Drosophila melanogaster: one gene and its partner. The protein of the gene in region 2 purifies or fractionates together with the protein of the main gene of each other region. This does not show direct contact. Each region holds a gene or a part of one and is shown on either strand. Other genes may lie near its edges. The genes, in order: Snap29 and Syx4.

The links.
Region 1: the proteins of Syx4 (region 2) and Snap29 purify together in Drosophila melanogaster (affinity purification with mass spectrometry; 2 studies listed by BioGRID). This does not show direct contact.

What each region holds. Positions count from the first base shown.
Region 1 is NT_033778.4:23,841,448-23,847,249, reverse strand, and holds Snap29 (Synaptosomal-associated protein 29kDa), read left to right. Parts: upstream 1-2,486; 5' UTR 2,487-2,603; coding exon 2,604-2,871; intron 2,872-2,940; coding exon 2,941-3,527; 3' UTR 3,528-3,767; downstream 3,768-5,802. Other genes in the region: CG5554 (uncharacterized protein), read right to left, coding at 661-1,143, 1,310-1,484, 1,554-1,715, 1,919-2,091; shu (shutdown), read left to right, coding at 4,056-4,114, 4,172-4,922, 4,998-5,555.
Region 2 is NC_004354.4:2,737,814-2,747,426, forward strand, and holds Syx4 (syntaxin 4), read right to left. Parts: upstream 6,264-9,613; 5' UTR 5,671-6,263; coding exon 5,638-5,670; intron 5,146-5,637; exon of another isoform or gene 5,104-5,145; intron 4,985-5,103; coding exon 4,748-4,984; intron 4,179-4,747; coding exon 4,085-4,178; intron 4,019-4,084; coding exon 3,776-4,018; intron 3,684-3,775; coding exon 3,610-3,683; intron 3,432-3,609; exon of another isoform or gene 3,344-3,431; intron 3,192-3,343; exon of another isoform or gene 2,992-3,191; intron 2,659-2,991; exon of another isoform or gene 2,571-2,658; intron 1,733-2,570; coding exon 1,484-1,732; intron 1,420-1,483; coding exon 1,348-1,419; 3' UTR 1,276-1,347; downstream 1-1,275. Other genes in the region: crm (cramped), read right to left, coding at 109-649. UniProt on the Drosophila melanogaster protein: Potentially involved in docking of synaptic vesicles at presynaptic active zones.

The DNA of each region.
Region 1 (5,802 bases), on a different chromosome or scaffold from region 2:
TTTGTAGTTTTACACACACGAAATTGCAGGGATTTTGTCTTATTTCATATTCTCCTACAATAAACTGATAATAAATTTGTAAAACCATTAATGTTCATGTTGTTTATGTGGTGTTAACTGTGAATGAAACTAATGGATTTTCCATTTCAAATATACATACGTGCATATGTGAAATTTCTTTGGGATCCAAATTATTTAGAAGCGCAAAGTAAACAAAGCCAGTTTAAATTGTATGTTTTTTTTTATTATTTTGTAATACGAAAATTTAATACAATTTGCGATTGAAGTACAATTACAAATGAAATGCTTAAGAGAAATGAATTGTGTGGAAACCAAGTTGAACACAAAATACAAAAATGCTTGGCAAAAGGTAAAAATATACGACTAAAGTTACATTTAGTTATTGTTACGCTTGCTATCGCTTAATGGATTGCAATTTTGCTTTACATAATTATGAAATACATGGGGCGCCGTTTTCTGGCTAGGATTAGAAGGAGGGAAAACAATCGGTTTTGTGCGCGAAGGCAGAGCAGACGGATTATGTCCGCTCGAATGATGCTTGGGTAAGAGGTTGTGTTCCTCTCGATTCAGTGTGTTAGTCTTTTTGTTGCCGCTTCTGATGATCGCTAAGGCTGAAGATCCGCAGGGACCCCGCTGCACCTAATCGCCTTTGCGAGGCTTGCGCTTGCGCACCTGTTCCGTCTTCTCGGGCGCAGCATCGCCGGCCTGCTTGGGCTCCGGCTTCTCTTCCTTTTCCGGCTCGCTGTCGGCCTCCTTCTCTTTAGTGGCCAGATCGCCCACCTGCTCCTCGCTGTCCTCTTCCTCTTCGTCGTCGTCCTCCTGTTCTTCCTCGTCGCTATCGCGTTGCTCGTCATCGTTCTCCTCGGCGTCGCCATCATCCTCGATCTCCTCGGTTGCCAAATCCTCCAGGCCCTCGGTCAGATTGTCCTGGGACTCGGAGAAGCTCTGGCGCTGCGACTTCTTGGGTGGGTAGACAAAGTCCACAAGGCACACGAGCAGCAGCCCCAGGGCAGCGCCCACGAAGATGGTGGCGATGGCGAAGAGGGCGTAGGAGCCCCACGTGGGCAGTCCGTATTCCTCCTGCAGGCGCCCGTTGAAGTCCTTAAAGAGTTTTTGCGTATGCTATTAGTACATGAACCCAACATACAAGACAACAGCAGAGAGCAAAGACCAGAGTAATGAGTGATGGGCGGCAATCTTTTGTGGGTCAACGGGATCAACCCGCTGATAAGCTTCCGCTTATGTCTCATGCAGTGAACCGATGCGATAATGGGCTAGGTGAACGTACCTTCAGAGTGTGCGAAAGCTTGAAGAAGTAGGACAGCACGGACATGTGGGTGGTGTCGGGCTTCTTCCAGGCGGACAGCGGTTCGATGCTCTGCCACTGCTGCTTCTTCACGAAGTAGAGGAGGGCGTCGCCATCACGGGCCCCACGATACTGCCGGAACTCGCCATCTTTTACGCTGGAAATGATTGACGTGGATTACGACGATGTGTATTTCATGGGTTGAAAAGGTCTATGTGGTGCTCACTGGTAGATGGTGGGGAGGGCGGTGACAAAGAAGCGTCCACTCAGCGAGGGCGAGGTTGTCACGTCGATTTTGGCCACCTGCACCTGGACATCCTTGGCCACGCGGGCAAACCGCTCCCAGGTGGGAGCCAGGTTCTTGCAGGCCGGGCACCATGGAGCAAAGCTGTGAATGGAGGGAGAAACATATGTTTAACACAGCTGCCGATGAGTCATCGTCGCCGCAAAGGAATGTCTGGTATTTCGGAGAACGAAAGAACCAGCTTGCCGGCTGGAGAAAGCCGGCGCACCACGCCCCTTTATGTTACGTCAGGGGCAGCGGGGTTTCATGTGGGTAGGGACTACTCAGAGCCACCCTTTCGCACTCACAACTCGATCATCCATTCGCCCTGGAGCATCAGGTGCCAGTTGTCCTCGTCCAACTCGATTAACTTGCCACCTGGCTGCAGTCCTGACTGCGCTGCTGCCGTCGACTGCGCCGTCGCCGCCAGCAGAAGCAGCGCCGCGCATGTCGCGGCCACAAAGTACGATGTGCTATGCATGTGGTGATGTTTTGGTGCTTTGCTCCGCCGATTCGTGTCCTGAAACCTGTGACGTTCGGCTGCGACAGTTTCTTAAATTAAACTAAAGCTTCCGTCTTGGTCAGTTCCAAAAAGTTACAGAAACTGCGACGCCTGCTGGAAAATTGACAGAAGTGCTGGTTCGATATCCATCGGAGATGGCAAGCCGCTTTATTCCCCGCTAGATCATCGGTAGGGGGATTCGGTCGGTATTCGCTCGTTACACGATTTTTTATTTATTAGATCAAGCTTCAAGTTTTCTTACATACAAATTCAATTTTTATCGTATCTTCAAAATCATTTTAATTATAATAACTTATTTTATTGAAGCCTCTGCAATGTCAAGCTATTTATAAGTCGATTGAACTGCATACAAATACTACATTTGTACCATCGCTATTGCAATCGATAACTCCAGACAACAACAAAGAAAATAAAAGTTTACGAAAACATAACAAAATTCGACATTTTGGAAGTTTCCCTCGCCACAAGAAATGGCCCATAACTACCTGCAGCCAGTGCACGATCACTTCGATGACGTGGACAGATTCGAGGACGTGGACGACGACCTATTCCTGCAGAACAAACGGACGGGAGCAGCCAAGCTTCCGCAGCAGAGGAGCACCAATCCCTTCGAGATGGATGACGATGACGAAGAGGAGATAACCTCGTCGCCATCAGTGGCCGCACAGCGACTGGCCTATGCTGAGAAGCGAAGGGCCATTGAGCAGCGAACTCTGGACTCTACCAACAAAAGCTTGGGTAAACATGGGGTCAATTGCCAGCCAATTAAGGGGCGTTATTGATGCGTCTCTCTCCTACAACCCCCAGGTCTGCTCTACGAAACCCAGGAGGTGGGTAAGGCGACGGCCGTGGAGCTGGCCAAGCAGCGGGAGCAACTGGAGAAGACATCACATCAGTTGGACGAGATCAGCTCCACGCTGCGCTTCAGCCAGCGCCATCTGACTGGTCTGAAGAGTGTCTTCGGCGGCCTCAAGAACTACCTTTCGGGCAACAGGGACCAACCACCCACCGCGACTGGTTCGCCCACGGGCAGTCAGTCCTCCCAGGAGGCCAATAGCAACATTAACCAGGGTGCCTGTGGCGGTGCTAGCCCCTCGGCTCCGCTATCACCAGCGGAGCGCTACGACAATCATCCGGTTAGCCAGCTGCGTGGTGATCCCAGCAGCACCTACCAGCCCCAGCGACAGGCGGCCAATCCCTTCCAGGCCCAGATCGATTCCAATCTGGAGGAGATGTGCAGCAACCTGTCGGTGCTGAAGATGCTGGCCACCGATCTGGGTGGCGAAATTGAGTCGCAAAATGAATTGCTGGATAACATGAACTACAAAATTGAGGATGTCGACTTGAAGATTCACAAGCAGAACAAGGACATGAGCAAGCTTCTGAAGAAGTGAACAAGCGAGCATTCGCATACTATTGTATTGATCATTGCTTAGAATAGCCCTCCCTTAATATACAAATCTTAGCCATACCATATCGCACGGTGAGCACTTCACAAGGCCATTAAGAATGCATTCCTCATTATGTTTCCTAGTTTTTTATTGTTACACACACCAAAACAATTCTCTCAATGGAGTGCTCGTAGTTGGAGAGCGATAAGTGTTCAGTTTTAAATAAAGATTCATATAAAAAGCAAGTATATCTGGCCTAGTGTTTCCCCGTCTGGATTGGAATACATTATACATTTTCGGAAGATATCTCGAGTTGCAGTGCTCGCGCCCTAATAAAGATATATAGTTCTTTGTTTGAATTCGATAACTTCCGGACAACAGCGACCAATCGATTCGCTAAAGCTATCAAGCAATCGAATTCCAGTTGATACCATCGCTGGAAAGCTCTTTTCTCAAACGCATCCAAAAGAATAGCGCCAACTCAGCGCATTCCGGAATTCGTTTCGTAAATATTCTGTAAATTTTGCGATAATGGAAGAAAACTTCGAACCGTACACCCCACAGTTGCTCAAGAATCCCTTGTCCTATTCGTGAGTAATAAGATACATATTAAAGGCACTCATGACCACGTGCAACTCATTCTGCAGGGATCTCGTGAAAAAGGGCGTTGAGTTCGAGGTCGACAATTCGCAGCAGAACCATGCCAGGGATCTGGGTCTCGACAGCGACAGCGACAGCGACTACGAGGATGCGCTGGACGTGGACGGCGAGGAGCTACGTTCACCGTGGACATATTCATTCGACGAACTGCGTGCGCTGATGAGCGAGATCGACGAAAACATTTACAAGCGGATCACTCGCACCGGTCACGTGGATCGGGAGGCGGTGCCGAACAAGGCTAGGGTCTCGGTTCGGTACAGTGGCTACTGGGAGGGCGAGACCGCTCCCTTCGACTCCTCCCTGCTGCGGGGCAGCAAATTCGTGTTTGAAACTGGCCAGGGAACGGTGGTTGAAGGCCTGGAGGTCGCCGTCCGCAGCATGCGTCCTTACGAGCAGGCCGAGTTTATAATCTCCTACAAGCTGCTTTTCGGAGAACTCGGTTGCCCTCCGCGGATCAAGCCCAAGGCGGATGCGCTCTTTAAAGTGGAGGTAATTGACTACTCGCTCATAGGAGATGCGAAGGGCATCGATGCTATCCCCCAAGAAGACCGCGACAAGTTTTGTGTGGTCTATCCGAAGGCTGTCGACTTGCACCTACATGGCAAGGACTCGGTGAAGCTCGGACGCTATCAGAGTGCAGCAACTGCCTTCGAACGGGCAGTGAGCTCACTGAACTACTGCCGAATGGCCAATGACGAGGAGGAGCGCAAGCAAACTGAACTGCTTACTACCCTGAACGTAAGTGGCCAACAAGAATAGCTTGCAGAGGCAGCGTTCTCGACCAGGCAGTTGATTCCTTGTCTCCTTTCTCAGCAAAACCTGATGATCGTTTACAACAAGATGAACAAGCCGAAGCGCGCCTGCATCATGATGAAGGCCTTACGGCACCTGACCATGGGCAATCCGTCTTGCAAGGCGCTCTTCCAGGAGGGACGCGCCCTGGCCGCTCTGGGCGAGTACAACTTGGCCCGCAACGCTTACCTGCAGGCGCAGGCCAAGCAGCCGGCGAACAAGGAGATCAGCGACGAGATTATCAGCATGAACAAGAGAATCAGCAAGTATGAGGAGGCCAGTCGCGATATATGGGCACGTGCCTTCTCGTTAAAGAACTCAAAGTCAGACGTCCGCAAAACGCCTGCTCAGCTGGAGAAGGAGGCAAAGGAACAGGATTTCAATGACAAAATGGAAGATTTGATTAGGCGGTTTAAGAACACTTCAGATCAACAAGTGAGCTTTTCACGTAAATCTTATTCGAACGCTCAGTTCGACGCGACTTGCAAATTGGCCAAGGAACACAACCTGAAGCTAACTTTGTCTCCCATCCAAGAGGATGTTCTGACATTGTCTAAGCCGGATGTTAAGTTCGCTTGAGCTTACTAAGAAGCCCCAGTATTTCATATTTCATATCTTACTCAAAAAAAAAAACATACCAAACATGAAGGTAATTTAGTTCCAAGTTCTAGAAGAGCAGTATCATTAGTTATTTCGATATTAGCAACATGAATATCGTAAGCCCAGACGAATGTTAACGTTTTTTGTTATTTAGAGCAACGTAGACCTTAAGTTGTTAAAAACCACAATAAAAGTAATGCACGGCAGCTACATAATCGTCAGGTAC
Region 2 (9,613 bases):
GGAAACCGAAACAAGCTAACTGTGACCTTATTAACGCATTATTTTGCCAATAGCTTGTTAATTTAACATTTCGGGACATGTCATATCCAGTTTGACCCTTCTTCTTACCCTCCGAGAAGCGCACATATTTGCAAATCTTGTGATGGGTCTGGTAATAGTGCTGGCGAACTTGGTCCTTGGTTTTGAAACTATAGTCGCTGTTGGCATTGCGGCGCTTCAGCTTGGCATTGATGCAGTTGGCCACCGCCTCGAAGTCCTTGCCGAATTCGTTGAGGGCGTCGAAGAAGCAGTTGCGCTCCACATTCGTCCAGGTGGTCTTCCCGCTGCCCGTCTTCAGCTGGCTGGGCGTCTTTTGGGCGGCCTTCTCCTCCTTTTTGTTCGGCTCCCGTTCGCTGGGCGGCGGTGTCATCGGGCGCGTCTGGTCCTGCTTCATCTTCTGTATGACCCGGGCACTGGCCCGCGTTCCCGGACAATTGTGCATGGTCACCGAGCCGAGGAGCTCCTCCTCGGGCAGCTTAGCTATCGAGTTAACAACTACTGCTCCTCCTCCCTTGCCATTTGGCAGCGGCTCCTCAATGGACACGGATGACGACGGCGGCGGCGGCTGCGTCAGCGGGGGTGGCGGCGGCTGCTTGGACAGTTCCTCCATGTTGGCCAATCCACATCCGCTTGCCTCCTAGACAGGATCAATCAATGGCAATATCAATTAAACTGCGTAGTCTTCCGGGAAAAGTGGGAAAATGGCGCCGAACCGTCCGATTGCTTGGTATTGTCGCTGAACCGCGCGCCCGGGCTAATCCACTACCGACCAGAAATGATCTCGAAGGCTTTCCCAAGCTCCGACGTGCACTCACCTACAAATCAGACATGGAAAATCGGTGCCAAACGACTATATAAAAAACTTATTAACGAGACGCCAGGGATGTTGATGTTGGCCAACAGTGTGGTATCAACAGTGCAGTGTGTGCTGTTAGGCGCGAAGTGGTTGCTGTTAAGTTGTTTTGTTTACCCGCAGCGATGCCCGCTCGGTTGTTTTACAGCCGCCAATGGCTAGTTCTAGCCGCAGCTTTCGTTTCCTGGCTGCTTTCCAGCTAAATGCGTACCCTTTGAACTAACCGTTATCTTATTTACATATTAAATTTAATAAAAATATACAAAATCCACACGAAACAAACAAACTAATGATTTAAAGGGACTCAGAATAGAGCACGCTCTCAATAGCATAAGCTTTTATTGATTTCCTTTACCTGTTGATTAATTGCAAAAATTCTTCTTGAGGTTTTAAAGTTTATTTTCTTACGTATAAATTTTAAAAATAGGCCAAAAAAATAAAGTTTCTCGCGTGCATCACAAATAAATACCAACAAGGAGTAATACTAGCAACACGGCTGCGAGTATCACGATGAGCATTATCTTTTTCTGCAAATACAAGGGAAAATGCCTTTTAGAACCCAACGCTCTCGGGGATTCGCAGTGTGCCCACCTTGCGCGCCTTCTTCTGGTGCTGCTCCGCCTGGTCCAGCTCGTCGGCGCCCTTGTCCACGTGGAGCGTGGCCTGCTGGGCGTGAAACTCCACCCGCTGGATCACCTCGCTCTGCTCCATTACCAGGGTCTGGATGCGCATGAACAGGGCGTGCACCTCCTCGATGGACTTCTCCAGGCGGCGCAGCTCGTTGAATCGATCCATCATTTCGCGCAGTGTCTGCCGCTCCTTTTCCGTTTCCTGCAGAAACTAAAAATACAAAAATTGTTATTATAAAGATTAAGCAAATGTCTACATTTATTTACTATTTGCAATACAAATACCTTTTGATCTTTACATTTTGTGTTAAATTGAAGGTTAATTAACAGAGAATGTTAGAAAGGGCGGGTGAAGATCTTATTTTATTGATTTACCGTTGGTCCTTGATCGTTTTCTCTTCAAGTCTTCCTCTTCCCTTTTTCTCAGCCACATCCAAATACGCACGTGATTTTTAATTGTGCGTCGCGAAATGAGGTTTGTTGTATTTAACATGGTTTAGATGTAAATGTAAGTATCGGCATTGTGATACGAAGCATTTGCGCGCTTTTTCTTTCTAAGTTCGCGGTAATTTGGCGTTTTCAATGGCGCGCGAAATATGTTTGTGTGTATAGAATGTGCGCGCTAAAATCCGCATTTACATATGTATGTATGAACATACACAATGTGTGTGTTGCGCTAAATAAGCTTCCACTTTTTTTTTATGGTGAACCACTGAGTTTCTATTATATATATAAATATGTATAGCTTAGCTATACGGCTAATGTAATTAATCTATGTACGTGATAATCTGTATTGCAGAACATAATGCTTTATTTAACATCCTCATTAACTAATAGATGATGTTAAAACAACAGCGGCAAACAGAGAGAGTGCATATGAGTTTGATTTACCGTTGGCCCTTGATCATTCCCTGTTTAAATCTTCCTCATTCCTTCTTCTTCCCGAGCATCGACATACGCACGTGTTTTTTAACTGCGCGCCGCGAAATAAAGTTTATTGAATTCAACGATCTTTAGATGGTGAAAAGTGTTACTTGAGTAAATGCGAGTATGCGCATTGTGATGCGAAGCATTTGCGCGTTTTTCTTCCTAAATTCGCTGTAATTTTGCGTTTTCAATGGCGCGCGAAATATGTTTGTATGTATAGAATGTGTGTGCTAACATCTATTTACACATGTATGTAATGTAATGTGTGTGTTGCGGTAAATTAGCTTCCACTTCTTTTTTTATATTTTTTGATGGTGAACCACTGAGTTTGAAAATATATTCTATTCAATATAAAAATGTATAGCCTAACCACTCAACCAATATAATTAATCAACGTATGTGATAATCTGTATTGCAGAACATAATGCCTTATTTAACAGCCTCATTAACTAATAGATGATGTTAATACAACAGCGGGAAACAGAGAGAGTATGTATGAGTTTGATTTACCGTTGGCCCTTGATCATTCCCTGTTTAAACTTCCTCTTTCCTTCTTCTTCGTGAGCATCGACATACGCACGTGTTTTTTAACTGCGCACCGCGAAATTAAGTTTATTGAATTTACCGTTGTTTAGTGCTGTTACTCGAGTAAATGCGAGTATAGGCATTGTGATACGAAGCATTTTTTTTCCTAAATTCGCGGTAATTTTGCGTTTGAGCAAAATAATTTCATACATATGTATGTATGTATGAAGGTGTGTGGGTGTTACACCAAATGAGCTTCAGTGTTTTTTTTTTCATTTTTTTTATGGTGTTCCAGTGTTGAAAAAGTTGCGAAAGTGATTATATCCTATTAGCTATTAAAATCCCAAATTTTTTTTTTTTCTGTGTAAAGCTTTACTTAAAGTGATATGAAAATGATCGTCTCGCAAATTATAGATGCGATAAAGTCAAATGAAATGAAAAATGAATACAACATCGAGGTGAGTTGCGCTCTACTGAGTAATATTTAGTAGCTAATAGTCCTAGATTGTATAAAATGTCATTTAAACTACATACTAAATGCCGAACATATTAAAATATATATGTTTATGAAACCTTTGATAAGGAATCATATCAGACAGAAGACTTAGTTGTTTGTATAATTCTTTCTTTACTCACATTATCCACAAAGAGTTTGGTTGTCTTGTTCTCGATGAGTAACTCGATTTCTTGTTCGCTGGCTTCAGAATTAACTAAAAAGTAGATTGTAACGAAGTTCTTAAACAAAATAATGTAATAGTTGCAAAGCATTTAATCAGACTCGTCCATTTTGTATCACACTTACTGATTTTTGTATGCAGTCTCAGATTCTTTTTGACCTTGGTCTCGTAGTTCTGCAGGAATAGTTCGTTTTTGTGCCACAGATTGATGAAAGTCTGGTGGAGTCCATAGAAAAGGGTTCTTTTCATCCTTGCCTCCAAGCTGTAATCGTTTTCCGCCGGCAGATTCGCCTTGAAGTCGTTGAATCGCGTCATTAGCTGATTGCCCAGCCTCAGGTTTTTGTTGTGAAGCTCATCCATCTCGTTCTCTGTGCGAATTGGATTTAGACCGTGATGCAGTGGAAGTATTCACAACTTTAGATTCAAATTCTTACCGTTGAAAGTTCGCAGATTGACAGTTTGGGCCATGCGGTTCATCGTCTCCAAGTTGGCGGCTATCTGTGCGAGTTGTTGGCGAATCTCCGTGTACTGAAAAGGAAGGATACCGTAAAAATCTATTAAAATCGTATATTCACTTCCATTGCATTTCCAGTACATTTCCTTGCTCAGGAGGAAGCAGTGCTTGTATTGCTTTTTTGCTTTGCAAGAGTTGTCTACCGTTGTTTACGTTTACATGGCGACTACTTGCCTTCTCTTCGTCCGCTCTCTTAACCACAATAAAAAACGTATTTAATGAGAAAATGTTTTTTTTTTTTTCTGGACTTATCACGAGTTTTCGCGCTACGCCGGCAGCGATTGAGTAATACAGCTGATTCATAAGTGCACACATGTGTGGGTAAGCCATAAAAAAGAAAAAAAGGGTTTCCCTCTCTCCGGCTCTCTGATCTTTTATTTCCATTGAGGGGAAACGTTTAACTATGCTAGATATTAGCTGCTTTCTGTTGTATGTTCTTGCTTCGCTAAGTATTTATAACTTTCAAGATAGCTATCTTAGGAGTTAAAGTTTCTTCTATTAACTATTTCAATACTCAATAATAGTAAAAACTTGTATGAATTCTGAAGTTGTGTTTTGTATACACTTCGATCCTTAAACTCACCGGATTGAGTATGTCATCCACATTCGAGCCATACTGCGTCATCTTTGAACTGGACCGATCCTTGGGTTCGGTGCTGCTGTTATTGTTGCTGCAGCTGTGAGAGTTTTGGCTAACGACACTGTAGCTATTATTGTTACCGCCGGTGTTGCCAATGATGAACTCCGTGGTTCCACTGTACACGTTCAAAAGCAGTGAACCGTTCGACGACGAGTTCGACGAGTTCGTGCTCAATGAGCGCTGGAATTAGTACAGCAAAAATGAGAAGAAAAAAAAATAAATAAATAAAAATAAAATAGGTCCATGCGATCCTAACGAACTGCAGGGAAAAACTGAGAAAAAACTAAATTGAAACTAACAACTTTGGTTGAGTTTATTTACGTTTGTGTGTTCACAATCTGGCGCGGTGTAAATGAACTATAAAAATGACTTCGGTACTGAAATTCACTTGGTGCTAAAAGTTTGTCGGCGGAAACGCGGGGTTGCCCCGTAAGTGTGATGTGTGGCCACATTATCGTCGTTATCTCTGGCCGATCTGATAAATGCCATAGCGAACACCCACCAAACCCCCTTGGCTCACAAGTCGAAATAGTGCCAAAAGCGCCAACAGAAATGTGAGAGATTGGGCCAATTGTAAAGAAGGTGGCAGCACCTTGGTCAGAATGTGTTTCAACGTGCCGCAAAAAAAAAAAAAACTTTGATTAGGATTACTTTTTACCGAGAAAAGTGGAATCCTTTTCCTGGCAAATACCACCAAATGTATTTCATCGTGTTAAGTAGATTTTATTCGTATTGCGGTTTGAGTGATGCCAAACCACTGTGCTTCAAACTAATTAGCAGTTACCTCATCCCAACCTCCCAACCAACCACCCACGTTTCTAATATTTTCTTACCTGCAAAAGCTCGGGCAGTCGATCTTTACCCATTTCTGCAACTTGGACTGCCTTTGGTTTGAATTATGCCAATTATATGCCAAATTTATGCCAATTCCTTGAATTCCTTTCCAGTACTCCAAAATGTCCACTTTATATCCTTTACAGCAGCTTCTGAGCTTTGTTCCTGGTTTGTTGTTGCCGTTGCCTCCAACAGCTGTTCGCGAATGGGAAAATTTGATTGAGAGCGCAGGAGAGAGCGAAACCTGCTATCAAAGCTTATCAGCGCACAAGTTTCTGATAAGAGCCGCCTAATATTTACCGTCTGCCCTTCGGAAAGCGACAGGGCGGGGTGGAAAGTCATGGAGAGAGAGAGAGAGAGAGAGAGGGACAGTCAGAAAGGCCTAAACACAGATTATCACCTATCACATATTTGCCATTTATTGGCGGCTCTTTGCTCTCTTACTCGCTCTTTTGTTGCACACACACACAAACACAAAAAAGAAAAAAATTGGATTATGGGAAAAACTAGCTTTATGTATTTTTAAAATTTAACATGTAAATACATTCGGCTACATTTTATTCGATTTATTGAAAATCAATTCCTTTGTCTTCACCGCGCCGCATACGTTTTCGAACTAAAAAATCGACGCCGGCACAAAAACGCAGAGCCTCCCAGTCGCGTCGAGATTTCTTTCAATTCAAAAAGATTAAAGACAGCAAACACTCTGGCTACAGCCTGGGCCAAAATAATAGGCATTTTATGGTATAAATTCATTGGGCCTAATCCAAATTCAAATTAGTTATGAAAAATTCAAAAATGTACATTAAATGCAGCAATAGAATTGTGATTTGAATATACGAAGGTATTCGATTTCATGAACTTCGGTGTATTTGATATGTACGTTCATGTGCTTTAGCTGGAGAGAGATAAAGATAGAGACTCGTACTACATTATGTGTAGTTAGTGGCGATCTACATTTTTTGTTGTCTCCGAATAAAATGAATAAATCGTCTTTGCCACCGAAATGAAAACTGGTTAGGCGGCGGAGAAAAATGTGTTAATTGTTTTTATTATTATTTCTACTCTGTTGTATGGTAAACATTTCTACATTGCTCTGCCGCCTTTTGCTGTTGTTGTCGCACTTTTCACGCTCCATGTTGCCGTTCAATTGAAATAAAAGACCGAGTAAGAGAAATAAACCTGCGACGAGAACGTTCAAAAGTCACTTGCGCTAATTAGTTGAACTTTTTTCTATTGCTGGCTTTGTACTGTGCCACCATATGCATTTACAGGGTATCAGCGGGTCGCATCTATGTAGGTCAAGGGTGTAAATTCATTGTCAAGCGTTGTACTCACCACTTTTTACAACTTGATCCCTTCAAAACGCTTGTGTAAATTATACTTCTTAAGCACAGTTCAGTTGCTTGTTTCTTCGAAAGTTTCCCATAATAAATTTATTGCTATTTTGCTTACTGGGTAGCTAGATGGTCTACCCGCTTTATATTAGCAATTCTTGCGGTTGCAAAACGAAGCTTATGAACTGCCCTCAACTACGTCAACAACAATAACAAGAAAAATAAAACCATCAACACCAGACAGTTGCGAATTTCCATTTCTCATTTGGTTCGCAATTCTTCTCAAGTTGCCATGCCATTTAAAAAGACGGCAGAAAAGAATCGTGTCGCGAATTCTTCCCTCTCTAATGATTGTATAAAAAGCATACGTATACGTGATATACTGATACTTTGAATTGAACTGCATGTAGCGCCATAAGGTTAAAACATTTAAATCGATTTGGAAATTCAATGTGGAATATGTGAATTCGCGAATACCCTTTAATACACCCTTTAAACATGAACATTTACTTTTTATTGCAAAATACCAATTAATTGAGATTGAGATAAACTGATGTTTCTGAGCTTGAACTTGTTACTTTATTTTTGCTTTATTTTTTTTTTGTTTGGCTTTTAAAATGAGTCATATAAGTCATGTTTTTTTTGTGACCCCGTCGTGGAATTCGAACCGCCAATCGCTTATCAGATACATTCGGAAGGTTTTGTGAGTTCCAATATCATTTTATTAGTCGACGATTTCTTGCCAACTCGTTATTAAGAGGCATTCAATTGCTCGAAAGTCGTGAATCCGCTTTTATTTACAAACGATCGTATAGAACTCTGACTCAATGAAGATATTGTCACTTTTGTGCTGTAAAGTTAAAAAAAAAAACTGCATAACAAAGCAAAACTCAATTTAGGTGGAGTGGCTATACAAAGCAGTTTATTTTTATCAATCCATGGGATTCATTGAGTTTAGGTAATGAGAATACAAAAAGATGAAATTCTTGTTTTTCCCGCCTTTATTTGCATTGCGGACTGTAAGTCTAAAATGTATTCCAGGTTATTATTATCTATTCACTTATTTTTTTAGTGCAAATTGTTGGCAAAACAGCAACATATTCATATTCCCTGCGTTTAACACCCGCTTTTCACCTTTTTCCATTGCTTTTCCATAAACAAAGGGGTCGGAAAAGCGGAGATATTGTTATAGGCAGTCAAGTTTATTGTGCCCGTTTTTTGTTAGTTTTCTCGGCTTTCGCGCTTTCCTTTGTTTACAATTTATTTTGTCATGTGTCGAAAATTGCAAATTTATGAGTTTTTGATGAGTCTTTTTGTGCGTTGTCCCCACCTTAGTTACCACTTCTGTTGTTATTTTTGTTTGTTTTTATTTGGGTCAGAGGCTCACGCACAAAACGAGAAATGGAAACTGATGGAAAGCGCTGGCGGTGCGGTGGAAAAGCGATAGCTTTGGGAAAATCAACTGGGGCGGTGGGGTCGGCAAGTGTGTGCGCTTTTTGACTTTTGATTAAATTCGCACTCGTCAAAAAGAAAAAAACAAAAAAAATAGGGCAACATTTACAAAAAATATGATAAATAATTGAACTCTTGCAAAAATGGCTTAGACCTGCCGATATCCTGTAGTTCTCAGTTCATATTTTTATCTATCTTCGCACGCCATTAAACATTAAATTTTAGAAATGTTTCGTTTGAGTATGAACCATTCGGATCATTCCAAATAAATATATTGAATTCCTAATACTGATTAAACAGAATTAAACCGGGTTGGCATCTCTCGGTATACCCGTGCTTGGTTGCCATGCCCAAATTGGCGGAGGAAAATATCCAAATATTTCACGTGCCAAACACAACTGTAGACAAATTGCTTTTAAAGCCTTTAAGGCAAGCTGCAAGTGCAGGGCGATGGGTTAAAAAGGATGAGAAGGTTGATCCGCACCAATTTAAATACGCGCCCAAAACTATGCAACGAAATTTCATATTTCTCTCTTCCATTTGCATAAAAGTCACACCAACGCAAAAACCAAAAACCAGAAACCAAAAAAAGTCCCCTCACTCCCACTTTCATGGTGTTTCTGGTTCTGGTTCTTGTTCGGTTTTTTTTTTCAATGCAAATTTTTGACTAGTTGCGGTCAGGATAAGTGTTTGGTTTCGATGGTTCACAGAGAAGAAGGGTCCTTCACGTGGGGGCGTGCACCACATCGTAATGTGAATTATTCATTTGTTTATGCTCTTAGTTTGTGTTTTAATTAAACTTGTTGGATGTCAGGGGCGAGTTTGGTTTGTATTCCCATACATACATCTGTAGGTGGGTGGCTCGCATTCTCTCGAGACCCACGGGGCGTATGAGTAATGTACGGTTTGATTGTCCCTTTTTATTTCCATACCGCTATTTTGCCAAGCAGTATCTTTATTATATATACTAATTATTGATTGGAGTAGTGCAAGTGCTTTTTAGTGATCTATCCATGTTTAGTAATATTTTATCAGCTTGAAACTTTAAGGTCGGGTCTCCAAAAAAGGCATAAAACCCAGAAAAGGCAATGAAAATTGCCAAGTCGCATTATTTATCGTATACGCATCGGGGAGTATAGCGAGCACACACACACACGCACACAAGTGCTCTTAAATGCACACACAC